Caenorhabditis elegans: one gene and its partners. The protein of the gene in region 3 purifies or fractionates together with the protein of the main gene of each other region. This does not show direct contact. Each region holds a gene or a part of one and is shown on either strand. Other genes may lie near its edges. The genes, in order: F45E1.5, Y71H2AR.2 and pcmd-1.

Region 1 (6,249 bases), on a different chromosome or scaffold from region 3:
GTTGAGAATAAATAGAAATAATTGAAATCTTGATGAAAATCAGGAATTGAAATCTTTGAAGATACCGAAAGAGGCTAACAACTATAAAGCGCGCCAACAAATTCCGACTCAGACATAATTCCTTCAAATAGATATTTTTGAACGTTTTTTGAAAGTTGATTCTGAATTTTTAGAACTGGACCAGGTTACTTTTATCTTGAAAACATGCCATGTTTTTGGTGGAATAGCAAAATCTGGTAGTTTACTCTTTTAAGCAAAAAAATGCCCCAAAAAGTTAAAGCTTCGCAACGGGATGTTTTGAAATTTTGTCAAATGTTTTTTTTTCGGAATTTTAGCTTTTTATTCATTCCGCAATAGGTTTTTCGGTAATTAAACACGTTTGTTTTTTGTTCAGTTGTTGTGTTCTTTGAATAAATTTTCAGAAAAATCCTTCGAAACTAACGAAACTGAAAAGGGAGTGCTAGTACTAAAACATTTTGAACTACGCCATTTTAACATCTAATTTTATAGCGGGCAACATCAAGAAGTTTACTGTCTCTTGGATAGTAGGACTTTAACACTTGAGAAAATCAAATCAGTTTTCGAAAAACTGTTTTAAAGATCGTACGCGCGGAACTGTTAACATTTGAGGAATCATTGATACGATTGTGAACGGGAACAAATTTAAATTACAATCAGATGAATTTGAAGGTTCAGTTATTGCAGACAGAAGTATAAATAAAAGGACAAACGTTCCGAAAATGTATGTAGAAATATGAATAAATAATCGGCGAATTATGCAATTCAAAATGTAAAACAACCAAGATTTAACTCAGTTGTCAGGAACATCAACTTTTTACTGCAAAAGAAAAATAAGAGGTTCACTAATGTAGTAAAACGTGAAAAAGAGTTACTAAAATCACAGTATGCAATTTGAACTTTTGTTGGAAGCATTTCTGTGTGTCAATTCATTGCATTGCTCGGTAAATATACTGATTCTCAGAAGTAACAACACAGAAAAACAAAGAGATGGGAAAATAAAGAGGTTTGTAGAAAATGAGATAGGAATGTTAACAACGATATTTTACAAATAACACAACAATTATTTCGAATTATTCCTAGTTCGATTTAATTCTGAAGAAAGTCTTCACTTTTTTCCAAGTTGACATGCTAGCTACTTGCTGTTTCTTTACATTTTGTCTCTTCAACTCTTCACATTGTTGCCGTTTCAGTTCTTTCTGCTCTTTTTGTTCTTCACGTTGCTTCTGCTTCAATTCTTTCTCATATTTTGATTTTTCTGCGGCAACCTTGTACCGATACTCTCTGATTTGCATTAACCAGCAAACACTGTCAAGAGTGTTAACAGGCTCCATGTCTGGTTCTTCAATTTCTAATCGCGATTTTCCATCGTCAATCCAGTCAGCTGAATTGATTGGAAGCCCAGGCTTGAATCGGACAATTGCTTGGTAAATGTACATTGGTACTGTGCTAAAATTAGAAACTTCTATAAGCATACGATCTTTTTTTAGAAGGGCTCACTCTGCATAAATAGCATAAACGATGAAATATTTTGCTGTGTTTTTGATGGAATTGAGAGCTTCAACTGAACGTGATATCTGTGAAAAAAAAAATATTGTGTTTGTTAAAAATGTTGAACTCACTGCGTCAATGGTGTGATTGGCCATCTCGTAATCATCATGGTATAATGGCTGAAATAAAAATTATGTATATTTGGATTACGCGAATTGATTTTGCAACTGGTTAATAAAAATAAATTATTGGCCGGAAAAGTAATGTCTTTTAGTCTTGTGTTCTTACAACTTTACGAATTATTCAGTGAACCCAATAACAATTCTGAGAACATTATCGAAAAAGGTTCCGCGGTCAGAAATTTGCTTAAATATGCTATGTACATTAATAACATTATTACTATACTGTATTTCACCATGATCGTCACAATAAATCAGAGGCCACAGTCTTATTAGCAAATTTAATCAAATGCATTTGTAACCCATCGATTTGAAACAATGCGGCACAATTTCTCAACCAACATTAGAAACTTGAAATTCCTATTGGAAAAATCTAAAATTAGTTTAGAAGTTGAGGCGAACTGTCGACAAATGCAGTTGTATTAAATGTTTGTCCAATTTACCGGTTGTCCGAGCACTTCCTCTGATCTGCGTCTCAAATCAATAACTTGAAGACCGTGAGGCATGAGGTGCTGATTGATGATTTGAATGAATTCCATTGAACATTCTGGTAGTTCAACAATATCGCGCAAGTATCCTTTGAATGGGACACCGATAACGGGTTGATGACTGTGAACAACTGGAATCATGTTGATTCTTAGAGTGTTACTGATTTTTTTTCTTGCGACCTCCGCTATACCAAAACGTTTCGTCTCTCCGGGAAGATACTGAATTTCATGAAATAAGTTAATTAAACTGTTTAAAAATAAAACTTACTCCTCCGTTTCCAATCAAATAAGCTTCTTCCAGTGTCAGGGATTCCTAGAAAAAAAAAATTCAAAACTTATTTAAATTCACTAATTGCTTACATGTTCTCTTCGATAGGCATACCATCGACGATTTCGTTCATGCGAAATGATATTGAACATCTGCATAAAAATTGAATCATCCGAATTCTCCAATGATACGCTATTAATATCTGTTTTGACATTGAGCCATTGGTTCAAACGAAAGCTTCCTTGTGTTTTCATGATTTCTTGCTCATTTGTTTGATGGATCATTATAAACGGTTTTTTAGTAGGCTGAAATTTAATTGAAATGTAGGTCATTTGCAAAGAGCTAGTTACATGAACTGGTGTCACTTTGAATTCCTCACTTGATGCCGGGTTATCCGACGTCTTCACTATACATGCTTCTTGAGTTGCTTCGTGAATAACTTTGCTCAGGATAACAGTTTCTTCATCATCAATTCCCGATGTACTAACCAAAGGTGGTAGTGGACCGGAGAAAACTTTCCATGTTTGTTTTTGCCATCTCTCAGCCTTGTCAGCGCCTGGATGTTTAGGAGGTTCTGGTTCAAGGTTGGTTTCTTTCTTTTCTTTGCGAAAAAACTGAACACAACCGTGTTTAGGTCCCTTACGCTTCCAGACTACATTTTTATCAGCTGTCTTATTGTCCTTGTCATCCCCAAGCATGCTCTGTAATTTAACTAATTTGCAATAAAACTTCTGCGCAGATGAGAAAAGTACTATCTTTGTGTTAGTTTGGGTCTATAATATTTCTAACGACAAAGTATGGTTAAGTCGGCATTCAGGTAAGTATACATTTTCTGTGCGAAACTAGAGAAAATACAAATGATGGATTAATTCATGCGATCTGTGAAATTTTTTAATTGTTCTTTAAATTAAATGAAGAGGCTAACTATTGCATTTAAAACAGACAGAATTTTATTTTGATTTTACACTTATTCATATTGTTTTATCACAGAATAGTGAATAGCGCATTCTCAAAGTAAGCTACACCACATTCAATATCCACCTGAAATCAATTTGCACGTTTCCCAACTTTTTCTTCACTAGTAATGCATTGATGTACACAATTACTAACTCAATGTAATAACTCTTGCATGAACCCACTAGCTGGTTGAAATTACTACTTGCAAAGATTACTACATGCGATATTCTTTTCACTCGTTTTCTAAGAAACCTATAATCCAAAGACCAACTTGCCAGACTCATATTTCTAGTAAGTATTAAGATCTCGTGTTCCCATAAAACGACACTTTAAGTCTAGACGTCTGCTGTTTGCACACCAGTGTTCTTTACTTTTTCTATGTTTTACTCACGACTACACTTGTCCAGGTGTTGTTTTAAAAGCCGACTAAAAAAGTTTAGAAAGTTTACAGCCTGGACTAGATTTGAAAAAAATGTTTTGAACTACCGTATTTCTTCTATTAGTATGGCTTTAGCAATACTATTTTTCGAAGGTATTCCCGCTTGCAATACTGTTAGGGAGTATAATAGGAAGAGCAATACTGTTTTTCAGAACATTTTTATTAGTTTTTTATTTGGAAAAACTCCAATTTTTTTTTGATAATTTAGAACATTCAATTGTAATTGAAACAGAAAGGCTTAATAACTTCAATCTTATAGAAATTTTGTCAAAAATTTTTGCAAAATAGGCAAAAATGTTGTTAAAATCTTAAAATTAGAAAGGAGGATTTGTACCAGAAATAAAAGTAGATGCGAGACTATTAGGGAGTGCAACACTAATAGGTAGTTCAATATTAATTTTTGGAGGGTTTTCAAAGTGTAATACTAAAAAGAAGTGCAAGTCTAAAAGGAAGGCCATACTATAGAAGAAATACGGTATTAGAAAAACATATTGAACATTAGTTAAGCTGCAAAATAATTGCACTTACTTCGATTTCATAATCTTCCAATGTTTTGGGTGGTGCTGGATTTGTTTGTGAAGGACGATCATCCCAATCGAATTTCAGCTTATCAACAAATTGGACGTGCTTCAGTCCTCGGCCTTCTGATTGAGCCTTCAACGAGTCGGTGTCATGTTCCGATTCATCAGGAAGATTTGAAATAACTTCTCTGCGTTTTTGAGAAGCATCTAAGAAACAAGGCTTGTTTTCTTGTCCCTCTGGTTTCGAACTTTTAGAACCCATCTGAATACATGATATTGTAAGATTGTTTGTCAAAATAGTTGAGAAAAAGACTGCAAAGAGAAACACTGAGGAAAGAGTTTGTCGTGAAAAATAACATCACGTAGTACAGCTCCGCCCATTTTTTTGAGTGGAACAAAAATCTGGAAAAATTTAAAGAAATGATGCGGGACATGTTTTTAAAATGATATTCCAAAAATACATAATATTTAACATTAGCATAGATAGGACATTTTGAATAATTTTGAACACGTCTGTGTCCTACAATATTCAATCAAAAAATATGATCATAGTTAAAATTAAAACTCTGACTTTTTTGAGACTTTTTTTGGTCAACTTTCAAGATTATGATAGGTGAGTAATTGTCACTTTCAACTGCAAATAAAAAAATCTTTAAAAATTGTCTATTTTTTGTTATGTTATTCGGTCACTAATTAGACTGATTATAAACATTTCTCCTTCATATTGCTTCAAGCAATACACTATAAGTGGAATTACAAAATAACATGTTTATCAATTGTTATACACTAAAAAATGCATACGCAAAATAGAAGCTTAAAATAATTGTATTCTTTACTCAAATATAAATATAAATGGGTTATCTCTTGATCCCACTTTTATGACTGTTTTGTTGCTAGTTTTAAGGAAAACCGCTAAACTGTTGCAATATTAAACTCGACCAAAAGAAAAAGTTTCAAGACGTCATAAACGATTGTCAAGAACAGTTATAGAAACGTTATCATATAAATAAAAGTAGTAAACACTTTGTAAACTATTTTATCAGTTGAAAATGCTTGTTGCCGTTTGTCTGAACTAGATTAATGGTCATTCTCCTCACTAATTTTAAAATCAAGGTAACAAGAGGTTTAAATATGAAACTAACAATTATAGCTAAACTAGTAAGCCAAAGGAAAAAATAACCAAGTAGTCTAACATATTGAGAATAAAAATCAAAAGATCAAAACTTTCAAGGAAAAGTGTAATGTGCTCAGCAATGTCATGTCATCCTTAAGCTAAATTGAAAATAGAACAAAACATTAGATGACGGTGAATGAGAATTTCCAGTTCACCGAACACGTACTGAAATATTTATCTTTCATGTGTCTATAGAAACATCTGTCAAGTTGTAACTAGTTTATAGTCTCTGACCTAGCTGTATTAGCACAATAGAGCACTGAAAACATTTGAAAACCCAGAGTCGGGCTTTCTTTTCAAATATGATCATATTTTCAAGAGAAATTGGTCTAGACAAGTGGCAAGTTTGCGGCAAAGCCGTCTATAACCAACAAGAAATTAGAAAAACACACAATCCCGAAAATTATATTTTAGACAATATTAAAACACATTTTGATACAAAAAATTGGTACGTTTGTAATGTATACGTTAATACAGAAACAGGTACAAAATTGAGGAATGAGAAACATCACGGAGAAAGTGAAACGAAGTGTAAAAACAAAAAAATTGAAGTTATAGTTAGAGCAAGTTTTTTGGTGTATGAGGTCTAATTTCAACAAAAACTAATGAAAGTATGTTAACATTACATATATTTTATCTAGAACTTTTTAATTGAAATTCAAAACGAAAAAAAAAGGAATAACCCTTAGGCGACTTGGCTAAACTTCATTGCAA
Region 2 (4,430 bases), on a different chromosome or scaffold from region 3:
TCTGAAAATTTGTGAATAGGTGTAAACGCCTACTTGCCTGCCTTCAAGGCGGCCTACATGCCATTCTATGTACTGCTAAAGTTGTCTTTGCATTTCACGTGGGCACTCGGTGTCTGATAGTCTTTCTACCTACGCGTGCCTTCCCGTCTTCTGCGCTGTTTAACCTACCTACGACTGCCTACCAGGCAGCCTACGACTGCCTACCAAGCTACCTACAGTGGATCTCGTGCCTACTTCACATAGCTATCTAATACAACTCACGCAAAAGACTGTACGTCACATTTGGAAGCGGTGCTGGTGTAGTTGGTCCAGCTGATACAGTAGACCCTCCAGAGGTCACTGGAGCCGCCGAAGAGCTTGATGGCTCGGCAGTGGTTGCTCCGGACGATGGGGATACTGTAGATACGGGTGCTCCAGAGGATGCGGCTGCTTGAGTAGTGGCAGATGGGTCAACGGAAGTTGGAGAAGCTGGAGCCTGGGATGGTGCTGCTGATGAGGAAGCGTCTGTTGAGGGAGAAGCTGCGACGGTTGTTGCTACCGATGAAGAATTTGAGGCTCCCGGGTCTCCATTGCCACTAACCAATGTGGCTAATCTGAAAAAAATTTGGAAAAATTATTGTTTCGAGAAAAATCAATACCTTTTCCAAGAAAATTAATAATTTTGGAAGAAAAATCGTCAATTTCTTGGAAAAATCAATATTTTCCATTTTAAAAAGTCGGCTAAAAATTTGAAAAAACTCGATGCTTCTTCTAAAAAACCCCAGTTTCTGGAAAAAATACGAAAAAAATCAAACAATTTTGCCCAAAACTTACAGTAACCCAACACATAACGCCAAAAACCGGAATTTCATTTCTAGCGACAAGAAGCCTGTGTAGAAACAGAAGTGATACTGCCGAAAATTTAGAAATTTGCCTTATCAGCTTAAAAAGGGCGTCGAATTGAATGATTTATGTTTGCTCCCCATCCAAAAATGTACTACCGTCATAATGCACAACTACTGATATATTTGCTGGTGATAAGAATGATTTATACCGTTTTTACGACGGCAATTTTAAACAGGAAGGGGAGTTTAAATGTGAAAAATGGAAGAGAAATTGACTGAAACGTGGTCAAATTTGACTGTAAATGAACCAAACATGCCTACATGCCTACAAATTGTCGTTTTAAATTCTGAAAAAACGCAAAATTTGCGAAAAAATGGCTACGGGAATTTTCGAAAAATTTAGTCTGAAGTCAGATATGAATTTTCAAAGTTTGAAAAATCTACTATTTTTGCATTTAAATTGACTATTCCAAATTAACTCAAAATGTGCTCAAAAATCCACATTTCCTGCTTGAACTCGGCAATTTCGGAAGTTGTTGGAATGCCGCTTTCAAATTCTGAAAGAACACAAAATTTGCGACAAAATGGCTACGGGAATTTTTGAAACATTTAATTTGAAGTCAGATATGAATTTTCAAAGTTTGGAAAATCTACTAATTTCGCATATAAATGGTCAGTTTTATTTAGGGCTGTACAAATCGGCGTCCGGTCGTCCGATTTTGACACCACCGGACGCACCGCGTCCGGTTTTGGGGTAGGTTTCCACGGCGGCCGACAATTTCCGAGTTTCGCCACTCACTATACTTAATCAGCAATTTTATAGTGGGTGGTGAAACTCGGAAATTGTCGGCCGTCGTGGATAGCTACCCCCAACCGGACGACCGGACGTCCGGTTGTACAGCCCTAGTTTTATTTAACCTCAATTTATACTCTAAAAGGTTTGATATCTCTAAAGGTATCTCTGCTTAAACTTGGCGGTTATGCGAGCTACTGAATCCAAACTCCAAAAAATGCCTACCTGTCTACATGCCTACATGCCTACATGTCTACATAGATATCAAAAACAAATCACACAACAAATAGAACCGAAGGAAATTACTTTACTACCACTTCAATTCTCTAAATCTCTCACTGAAAACAAGTTTTTTTTTGTTTTCTATTGCTGATAACTTTTGAACTTGACTGACTCATCATGAGGAATAAAATATCGTTAGCAATAAGTGGATATATAAAAGTTAAATGAAAATAGCAAGAAAATCACAAATTCTCAATGGTCAGTGCTACTAAATTAAGCTCGAAAGCAGATGAGGCGAAGAAGCAAAAAGTCTTCGTTGCAATGGGGTAAGTCTTTCTTTTTATACAAACGAAGAAGGCCTAAGCCTAAGCCTACGCCTAACATCGAAAGTAAATTATTCCAGAGAAGACTTGTTCGAAAAGCCAGCAAACTCGAGAAGCACCTTCAATTCCATTATCCTCTTCACTCTAACTGCGTTGACATTCTACATCATTGGTTCTTTAGTTCAGCAGAGAACCTCTGAATCACTCCCAACAAGATTTCAATGGGAAACCCCAATTCACATGGACCGAACCACTGAGGAATTTCTTGATTGGAGAGAGAAAGGAATTGTTGGACCAGTTAAAGATCAGGGAAAATGCAATGCATCCCACGCATTTGCGATAACTTCCAGTATTGAGTCAATGTACGCCAAGGCTACAAATGGAACACTTTTGTCATTTTCTGAGCAGCAGCTTATTGATTGTAATGATCAGGGATATAAGGGATGTGAGGAGCAATTTGCGATGAATGCTATTGGGTAATTGTTTTGGGTTGATTTAAGGTTTAGACCGTGATGAGCAATTGAAAAGCGAAAATTTTTATAGTGGCTCTGTCGTTTTAGAAATACAAGCTCGTGTACCTCGATGCCGGAAAGGTCTAGAAATTTCCAACCAGCAAACTGTTCTTTATTTCAAACATGATTAACATTTCGTTTATTAATTACGTTTATTAATTAGTCTATCCGTTTTTGAGACACGCAAATTTGAAGGTCATTAGACCTTGTCTTCAAATACCTAAATCTTTGAAGTTAATAGAGTGGTAAAAATGTGATCAATTGATAATAAATGCTTATGCAATAATGATAGGTAGCATTTGTCGTTTAAAACACCCATAAATGTGAATCGGAACCTAATTATTTAACAATTTTGTCAGATGAAAACCTTTAGCGCTAAATATTCAAAATTTCAGATACCTCGCCACTCATGGCATAGAAACAGAAGCAGACTATCCATATGTTGACAAGACAAATGAAAAGTGTACCTTTGACTCAACTAAATCAAAAATTCATTTAAAAAAAGGAGTTGTGGCAGAGGGTAATGAAGTACTGGGGAAAGTTTATGTCACAAATTATGGACCCGCGTTTTTCAGTGAGTTTTTTTTTTTTATTGGTCATAATTGTGCAAAAAGTAAATTTCTTGATAGATCATTTAAAGTTAGAGTAGCGCCAATTGGGATTTGGTCTAAATGTACTTATAATGATCCAAAACTACCGAATATCATAATAAAACTCTTTAAAAAATTTTAGTAAAAAATTTTTTTTTTGGTCGACTTCCAAAATTATGAGTGGCAAAAATTGAGTAATTGCCACTTTTTGACAGTTAATAAAAAATTTTCAAAAATTTTTTGAAAAGTTTTATCACGATATTTGGCCATTTTGGGACCAAAGGAGTGGTTTTTAACATATTCCCCACTGGCGCTACTCCACCTTTAATAGCAATACAAATATTTTCAGCGATGCGCGCCCCTCCATCCCTCTACGATTATAAAATCGGAATCTACAACCCATCCATTGAAGAATGTACAAGTACACATGAAATCCGATCAATGGTAATCGTTGGGTACGGTATCGAGGGAGAGCAAAAATATTGGATTGTGAAGGGCTCATTCGGGACATCGTGGGGAGAGCAGGGATATATGAAGTTGGCAAGAGATGTTAATGCATGTGCAATGGCAACTACAATTGCAGTTCTTACCGAGTTTGTATAATTTTGAGAATTGTTATTACGATAAGAATGAATATTTATCTACAGCGCGGGCTTCTGACTTCCTTTATATTTTGATATAGATCTCACTTAAAATTAAATTTTTCAGAATTTTTCTTCGGGTACTTGTTTCAAATTTTTGCTGTTTTTTATTTTCTTTTTCTCTTTCTGAATTTATATACCAAATTTTTTAAGTACCAGTAGCTTCCAGTTCAATCATAAAATCTGAATTTTCAGGCATAAGTTTGACCGTACTTTTCAAGATGTACCATAACCAATCATTTAGTTTTCATAATTTTAAAAATTTATATCTCAAATTAACTTTTTTCAGAATGTTTTTCCGGAGAACACCCAATATTTTTTAAACTTTACCATTTATGTACTTGGCGCGGATAAAAAATTTCGTCTTCTCATGTGGTGTCATAATGTCCCATTACGGTTTCATCTACGTTTTGATCTACTCCCATCTACAAAAAATGCGGGAGTAGAGTTCTCAAATGATTTTGCATGGTTAAGAACGTGCTCACGTACAAAAAATGTCGCATTTTATTGTGGATCAAACAGTGA
Region 3 (7,672 bases):
ATTCGGTGGAAAACGGTTAAAAATAACGCGCGAAAATCGATAAACACAGCTGAAACTGGGGCTACAGTAACCCGGGGTGGGTCTCGCCACGATTGGGGGTACTGTAGCACTTGTTTCAGCTGTGTTTATCGATTTTTCGGCTATTTTAGCAGAATATTAGATTTATTTTGAGTTGAAACATTTTTTTTAAGAATTCGGAGAAAAATGCGATTACACAGCTCAAACCGGAGTTACAGTAACCCGCGGTGGGTCTCACCACGATTAGGGGTACTGTAGCACTTGTTTCAGCTGTGTCAGAGCTAGAAAATAGCAATTTTTACACTTCTTTTTAACAAAAAGTTACCAGTTGGCACGTTATTTTAATGAAAACCTTTTTTTTTTAATTTCGAAAAAAATTTGCTTTTATGTCTATTTTTAGTAAAAGTTTTGTTTTTTTTTCTTGAAAATTCCACTAATGTCATCGATTTTAGTGAAAAATCGATAAACACAGCTGAAACTGGGGCTACAGTAACCCGGGGTGGGTCTCGCCACGATTGTAGGTACTGTAGCACTTGTTTCAGCTGTGTTTATCCATTTTCGGCTATTTCAGCTGAAAAATAGATTTTTTTTTGAGTTAAAAACCAAAAATTTTCGAGAAAAAATGCAATTACACAGTGGAAACTAGGGCTACAGTAACCCGAGGGTACTGTAGCACTTGTTTCAGCTGTGTCGGGACACAATATCCCTTAAAATTTCCATTTCTGAGCCAGAAAACCCGAGATTTTGATCATTTTCAGGACAAAAACCTTCGGAAAATCGAAATTTCCCATTTTTTTCCCAGTTTTCCGTCAAAATTCCCTCTTTTCGTGGTAAGACCCTCACTTTGACGAGGAAATCGGCACAGTTCCCGGGTCGGACAACATTGCTCGTGTGTGAGCTACAATCGTCGTTGCCAGCAGGCAATTGAAGACGGCTCCGTGGAAAACTGTCCAAATTCTGGAAAAAATAGCGATTTTTTGTGGAAAATTAGCGTTTTTAGCCAAAAATCAGTGACTTTTGGGGTGAATTTCGCATTTTTATTTCAATTTAATTGTGCCATGATGCTCAAACCCAGAAAAAAATGGGGGGAAATATTGGTGAAAATCCGAAAATTCGTCAATTTTTCTCCACAAAAACCTACGAGTGCCCGAAAGTTGGCAGCAAAAGCCAAATAAGAATCACATAATCCGCATATGCAATCAGTAGATAGATCATGCACACACAAACGAGCCCGCACGGATCCCATTTGAACATTTTCCGGCTCTATTCTCGGTTTAATGTGGCATTTCTGCAAAATTTCCAGATTAGTTGGGGGAAAATGTTATTAAATGTTGAAAAATCGATAATTTGAAATTCATTTTATTGATTTTTATCACAAAATTCGTTGGGTTACTGATAAAAATCAATAAACAACGATGAAAATCCGTGGAAATGATTGATAAATTAAAGGCGCATGGATTTATACGAGTGGTGGGTCTCGCAACGACGACCCCTTGGCACGTTGCCAAGTGCCGCCAAACGGCGGTTTTTTGATTTTAATTTCCGTTTTTTGTGGTTTTTCGTGGATTTTCTTTGATTTTCTTCGATTTTTCTATTCAAAAATGATTTTAAATAAAATTTCGACACTTAAAATCAATATTTTCAGCAAAAAATCCACTATGGAGGTGGAATACGACGAGGGATTCGACTCCAGTTCGCTGAAGAATAATCCCGCCTCCCTCCAGCGGGATTATCCGACTTTTATGGAATCGGTATATTGATTTTCCTTATTTTCCAGCAAAAACTCTCAATTATATCATTTAGAATTGCTCGCAAATGTCCGTAAGACAGGAATTCCTGCCAATATTCCCACAAAGACTGGATTTATGTCAGATTTCGCCGAAAAAGAGCGAAAAAAAGTCGAAAAAGAAGAAGATTCCGAGCCCGATTAAGAAGACGAATGACACTAAATTGTCAATATTAAGCGAAAAATCGGAAATTCGCTCGGAAAAACACAAAAATAAGTGTAAAAGTGCGGATTTGGACGCAATGGAGAAGAATTTTAAAGAATTACTCGAAAATTTCAGTGTACGGGGAGAAAAATGGCGTTTTTCAACCCAAAAATTTCGATTTTTCAGAAAAATGCCGCTCTCAGCAACAGTTTAAGAGATGAAGCTTCATCGATCATAAGCTCATCGGCTTCTTCACAAAAATCTCTGTTTAAAGAGGTAAAATATGTGTTTTTTTGTTGAAAATTCACTTAAAAATCGTATTTTTTGCCTAAAAACCCCTTTTTTTTTTCATAAAAAAAAAAGATTTTTCTCTTCAGATCAACCTTGCCAAGAAGCTCTCCGCGAGTTACTCGAAAAAACCCGAAAAAACTGGCGAAAAATCGAAAAATTGCACGTTTTCGGATAGTACCTTCCGTTTGAGCAGCCAAAATGACTCGGACAGTGATGATACGAGGCCGTAAGTGAAGAAAAATCGAATTTTACACGAGAAACTATTGAAAAATGCGAAAATTTATCGATTTTCCATACAAAAAAGTTGAAATCCGAGTTTTTGAACCCAAAAAATGTGAAAATTGATTAATTTTCCACTCAAAATCTGAATTTTTTCGTATTTTCACCGGAAAAGCTCCAGAAAAATTAAATTTTCAGTTTAAAATCGCTAAAAACCTTTAAAAAAATCGATAAAAAGCTATTTTTTTGCAAAATTGCTTTAGAAAACGTGAAAATCGCTGCTGAAAATGTATTTTTCCAGGCCTTCAAGTCAAGCTTCACTGGCCTTCGAAGTGGAACAAGCTCGAAATATGATGATGTCATCGGCTAAAATTCCGAAGCCTCTGAGCTCATCGACACCGCGCAAAGAACGACGAACAACTGGAACGAACAGCGATTCCAGTAATATTTTCGGCCGAAAATTCTGAAAATTGGGCTTTTTGCTCAGAAATTGCCGAAAAATCGGAGAAAACTCGAATTTTTAAGCTTAAAATTACAATTTTGAAGCCAAAATCCGTGAAAATCATCTGGAAATTTTGGCATTTTTATCCGGAAATTTCCGAAAAATCGTTGAAAAAAGCAAATTTAATGTTTTTGCCTTGAAATATCCGAAAAATAAAAAATAAAACTTGAATTTTCAGATAAAATTTTGGCAAATCTAAAAATTTTCAAGCCAAAATGTGGAAATTTTGACCTTTTTACCCGGAAAGTTCCGGAAAACAGTGAAAATTTTGAGTTTTCTCCAAAAAATTCTGAAAAAAGGAGCATTTTAAAGCTAAAACCTGGAAATTTGACCTTTTTACCTTGAAATTACCCTAAAATCGTAGAAAAAAGGCAAAATCTATAGAAAATCGCCGAAAAACCCATAGAAAACTTGAATTTCGAGCCGAAACTTGGATATAAATATGTTTTACGAGATTCTCAACGGAGCGCACTTGCTTCCAACGAAAAAAAAAACCCTAAAAACTTTGGATTTTCAGTATTTTATCAGTAGAGCGCATTTCAAAAATCCCTTTATTTCGTGGGTCCCGTCTAAGCTTCAGTCTTTAATTTAAGTTCACACTGTGAGGATTACGGTAGCTACAGTAGTAGCTACAGTAACCCTCAATTCAAATAAGATCAGTTTGTAGTAAGTTGTGTATTTCGCAGAGAACATCATTAGCCACGAGACGGGCGGTGTGGAAGGAAACTGAACACAGGCGGTGAGGTCTTGATGCCTGTGTTACTAGCCACTAGGCCACGGTGTAGGGGGTCTCTAGGTACATGCTATGCAGGTTTATGTGTTAGATGGAAAGGGTTGACAGAGTGTAATGGGGGAATTCACTGAGTAGCGACTTGTGTGACCTCAGTGTGTCTTTTTCAATGGTCTCGACACGGAAATCGATTTTTTTTTCCCAAAAAAATCAAAGTAACGAATTGTGGCATCTGTGTAGCTTTGCCCAATGAAAAGTATGAATAAATGTTGAGTTCCGCGTGAAAATCGCATTTTTCATACTTTTCATGTGCAAAAGAGCACATTTGTCACCGGAGACGGGGAACCTCTGCCCAAATTTTCATTTTAATAGTTAATTTAGTGAGATTTTTGTGAAATTATCTGAAGAGTGATAAAAATTTGGTCCAAAACTGGCAAATTTCACGAATTAGCGTTTTTGGTTAGAATTTTTGCGGAATTGTGAGCATTTTTTTTAAAGAAAAATGCAACTATTTTTGCTCGGAAAATCGAGTTTTCGGAAATTGCACTGCTATGTGGCATCTGTGTATCTTACTACAGCAATCCGTGGGTCTTGACACGAAAATCGGAAAAAAAAAATCAGAAAAACGACTTGTGACATCTGTGTTGCTTTGCCCAATGAAGAGTATGAATAAATGTTGAGTTATTCTGTGAAAATCGCGTTTTTCATACTTTTCATGTGCAAAAGTGCTCATTTGTCACCGGAGACGGGGAACCGCTGCCCAAATTTTCATTTTTTGTATCAAATTTTGATAAATTGGCAGAAAAGTGCTGAAACTTTGGTTCAAAACTAGCAAATTTCACGAATTAGCGTTTTTTTTTTTGCTAATGCTGTAAAATTTTGATAATTTTAAAAATTCATGTATATTTTTTAGAAACTGCTAGTTTTTTTTTTCGAAATTACAGGGAATCAGCTTTCAAGTTTTTTAGTCCCAATCAAAAAAGCGAAAATTTAAGCCCCATATTGATCTATTTTGATGAAAATCGGTTTTTTGAGCTCCGCGAGCCCTGAAAATGCTCGAAATTTGATTTTCACCGAAACAGGCCGATATGGCTTAAGATTTCGGATTTTTGCGGGGAATTCAAATTTTTTAGTCCCAATCAGCAAAAATCGGTAGGAAAATTGCATTTTTCGCAAGAAAATTACAAAAATTTAAGATTCTCTCGAAAAATTGATAAAAACCCAAATTTTCCAGCAATCTCCGTCATTTCGGCTGAAAAACGATATCTAAAAAAAAATTCGCGACTTGTGGCATCTGTGTAGCTTTGCCCAATGAAAATTATGAATAAATGTTGAGTTCCACGTGAAAATCGCATTTTTCATACTTTTCATGTGCAAAAGAGCACATTTGTCACCGGAGACGGGGAACCGCTGCCCAAATTTTCATTTATTTTCAGTTCGTCTCTCCGAATCACAGCTCGTGGAGCTCTACTCGAATCGAGAGCCGCGAAATTCGAAATCTGACATCACAATTCGACAATTTTTCGACGAGGAGGATGACGCTGATAAAACGATTGTCGAGCAGGTTTTCAAGGATTATCACAGGAGTTTGGAGAAGGAAACTCCGATTATGAGAAATTCGGCGACGGATACATCGGGTAGGGAGAGGAACTACAGTAATCCATGGGTCTTGGCACGAAAATCTGGAAAAAATGGAGAAAAACAACTAGAAAACGTTTATTTTCAAGTTTTTAGAATAATCGTTTTTTTTTATCCAGAACAAATCTTAAATAAAAATTAGGCAGGAACTACAGTAATCCATGGGTCTTGGCACGAAAATCTGGAAAAAATGGAGAAAAAAAAATTAAGAAACATTGATATTCAAGGTTTTTTTGAAAAATAATCGATTGAAAAAAGATTTTTCATGTTTTTCACATTTTTTTTTAATAAAAAAGTAATCCTGAAATATTTTCAAATAAAAATTAGGTAGGAACTACAGTAACCCAAGGGTCTTGTCGCGAAAGTTTGCAAAAATTTCAAAATAACGACTTGTGGCATCTGTGTAGCTTTGCTCAATGAAAAGTATGAATAAATGTTGAGTTTTTCGTGAAAATCGCATTTTTCATACTCTTCATGGGTAAAAATGCACATTTGTCACCGGAGACGGGGAACCTCTGCCCAAATTTTCATTTTTTCGAATAAATGTGGCTAATTACACTAATCCCCTCCTTTTACACCGTCCTACCCCCATAATTATAGGCTCTCGGAGCAATTAAATGCTCGGTTTTTTTTCCAGGATCTCTACATATTGAACGAAATCGTGACGGACGGTCGGCTTCGATGAGCAATCTGATTTCGAATAGTGGAAATCGTACGAATTTGACGGTTTTTGATGGATTTGGTAGGTTTTTTGGAGCTGAAAATGCTGGAAAATTGAGATTTTTCATTAAAAAATTCATTTTTCAGATGGAAATGCTGGAAAATTGATATTTTTTGTGGAAAAAATAAGTTTTTAATCGAAAAATGTAAAAATTTCGATATTTTTCATTTAAAAAAATTAATTTTTTTTTTGCAGAAAAAACTGAAAATAGATATAATTTTTTATATTTAGATATAAAATAATTTTTTCAGCTGAAAATGCTAAAAATTCCCCAAAATTCCATTTTTCCAGCTCCCGGAGCCCTCCGTCACTCGATATCCACCGTACAAATGAGCCCAACCAAAAAAAAATTCGACGAATTTCGAATTGAGCACCAAGAACCTGGCATTTTGCCAAGATTTGTCATCAAAACGTCACTGCGGCCGATTTTTTCGCCACCACTCGATATTGATGAGATTTGTGGAAAAGGACTGAGAAAAGATGCGGAAAGGTGCGAAATTCGTGCTGAAAATCGACAAAAATTGGAGTTTTTGGCTTAAAATCCGGAAATTTGTGCTCAAAATTTCGAAAAATAGTCAAAAAAAAATTCAAATTTGGAAAAATACGTTATTTTTACCCAAAAAATTGATTTTCAAGCATTTTTTCGCTTTAAAAACTTGAAAAGTGCGTTTTATGCGAGAAAAATCGATAAATTGCCGTAAAAAAGTCATTGTTGGCTTTTTAGACTGAAAAATCTAAAAATTGGGTCACAAATTTGGGAATTTCGACAAAACTACAAAAAAAATCCACTAAAAAGCGATAATTGGCTCAAAAATCGCAAAAAAAAAATGGAGAAAATGTCTGAAAATATTCGATTTCCACAATTTTGCACTGAAAATTCGAAAATTTACTAAAACTCGGTGATTGGCTCAAAAATTCACAGCTCAAAGCCAAAAAATGGGGTGCTTGGACCCAAAAATTCGAATTTTCCGCCAAAAATCCGTAATTTTAAGCTCCATATTTTTAAGCCCTATTGGTGAAAATCGATTTTTCGAGCTCCGTGAGCCCTGAAAATGCTCGAAATTCGATTTACACCGAAACAGGCCGATATGGGGCTTAAAATTCCGGATTTTTGGCGGAAAATTCGAATTTTTGGGTCCCAACACCCCATTTTTACAATTTTTTGGCTTTGAGCTGTGAATTTTGGAGCCCATCACCGAGTTTTATTAAATTTTCAAATTTTTAGTGCAAAATTGTGGAAATCGAATATTTTGAGACATTTTCTCCATTTTTTTGCTATTTTTGAGCCAATTATCAATTTCTTAGCGGATTTTTTGATAGTTTTGTTGAAATTTCCGAATTTTTGAGCCAATTTTTTGATTTTTCAGTCTGAAAAAGGCAAAAATGGCAATTTTTCGATTTTTCTCGCAAAAAAACGCACTTTTCATGTTTTTAAAGCGAAAAAATGCTTGAAAATCAATTTTTCGGGTAAAAAATAACGTATTTTCCAAAATTTGAACTTTTTGACAATTTTTTGAAATTTTGAGCACAAATTTTCGGATTTTTTAGTCCCAATCAGCGAAAATCGGGGAAAAATTGCATTTTTTGGCAAGAAAAATACGAAAATTTGCTAAAATTCTCTC

The links.
Region 1: the proteins of pcmd-1 (region 3) and F45E1.5 fractionate together in Caenorhabditis elegans (co-fractionation; one large-scale study listed by BioGRID). This does not show direct contact.
Region 2: the proteins of pcmd-1 (region 3) and Y71H2AR.2 fractionate together in Caenorhabditis elegans (co-fractionation; one large-scale study listed by BioGRID). This does not show direct contact.

Annotation. Positions count from the first base shown.
Region 1 is NC_003284.9:7,975,074-7,981,322, reverse strand, and holds F45E1.5 (Rhodanese domain-containing protein), read right to left. Parts: upstream 4,624-6,249; coding exon 4,369-4,623; intron 3,146-4,368; coding exon 2,795-3,145; intron 2,750-2,794; coding exon 2,537-2,749; intron 2,490-2,536; coding exon 2,445-2,489; intron 2,396-2,444; coding exon 2,132-2,395; intron 1,689-2,131; coding exon 1,641-1,688; intron 1,596-1,640; coding exon 1,519-1,595; intron 1,468-1,518; coding exon 1,098-1,467; 3' UTR 588-1,097; downstream 1-587.
Region 2 is NC_003281.10:2,838,592-2,843,021, reverse strand, and holds Y71H2AR.2 (Peptidase C1A papain C-terminal domain-containing protein), read left to right. Parts: upstream 1-2,094; coding exon 2,095-2,165; intron 2,166-2,242; coding exon 2,243-2,638; intron 2,639-3,069; coding exon 3,070-3,248; intron 3,249-3,613; coding exon 3,614-3,867; 3' UTR 3,868-3,902; downstream 3,903-4,430. Other genes in the region: H34I24.2 (CUB domain-containing protein), read right to left, coding at 1-1, 262-593, 814-851.
Region 3 is NC_003279.8:11,605,306-11,612,977, reverse strand, and holds the start of pcmd-1 (PeriCentriolar MatriX Deficient), read left to right. Parts: upstream 1-1,663; 5' UTR 1,664-1,676; coding exon 1,677-1,769; intron 1,770-1,821; coding exon 1,822-2,085; intron 2,086-2,135; coding exon 2,136-2,225; intron 2,226-2,326; coding exon 2,327-2,466; intron 2,467-2,760; coding exon 2,761-2,900; intron 2,901-3,532; exon of another isoform or gene 3,533-3,663; intron 3,664-5,127; coding exon 5,128-5,328; intron 5,329-5,966; coding exon 5,967-6,071; intron 6,072-6,341; coding exon 6,342-6,540; intron 6,541-7,672. Other genes in the region: dhhc-7 (Palmitoyltransferase), read right to left, coding at 862-975, 1,160-1,272.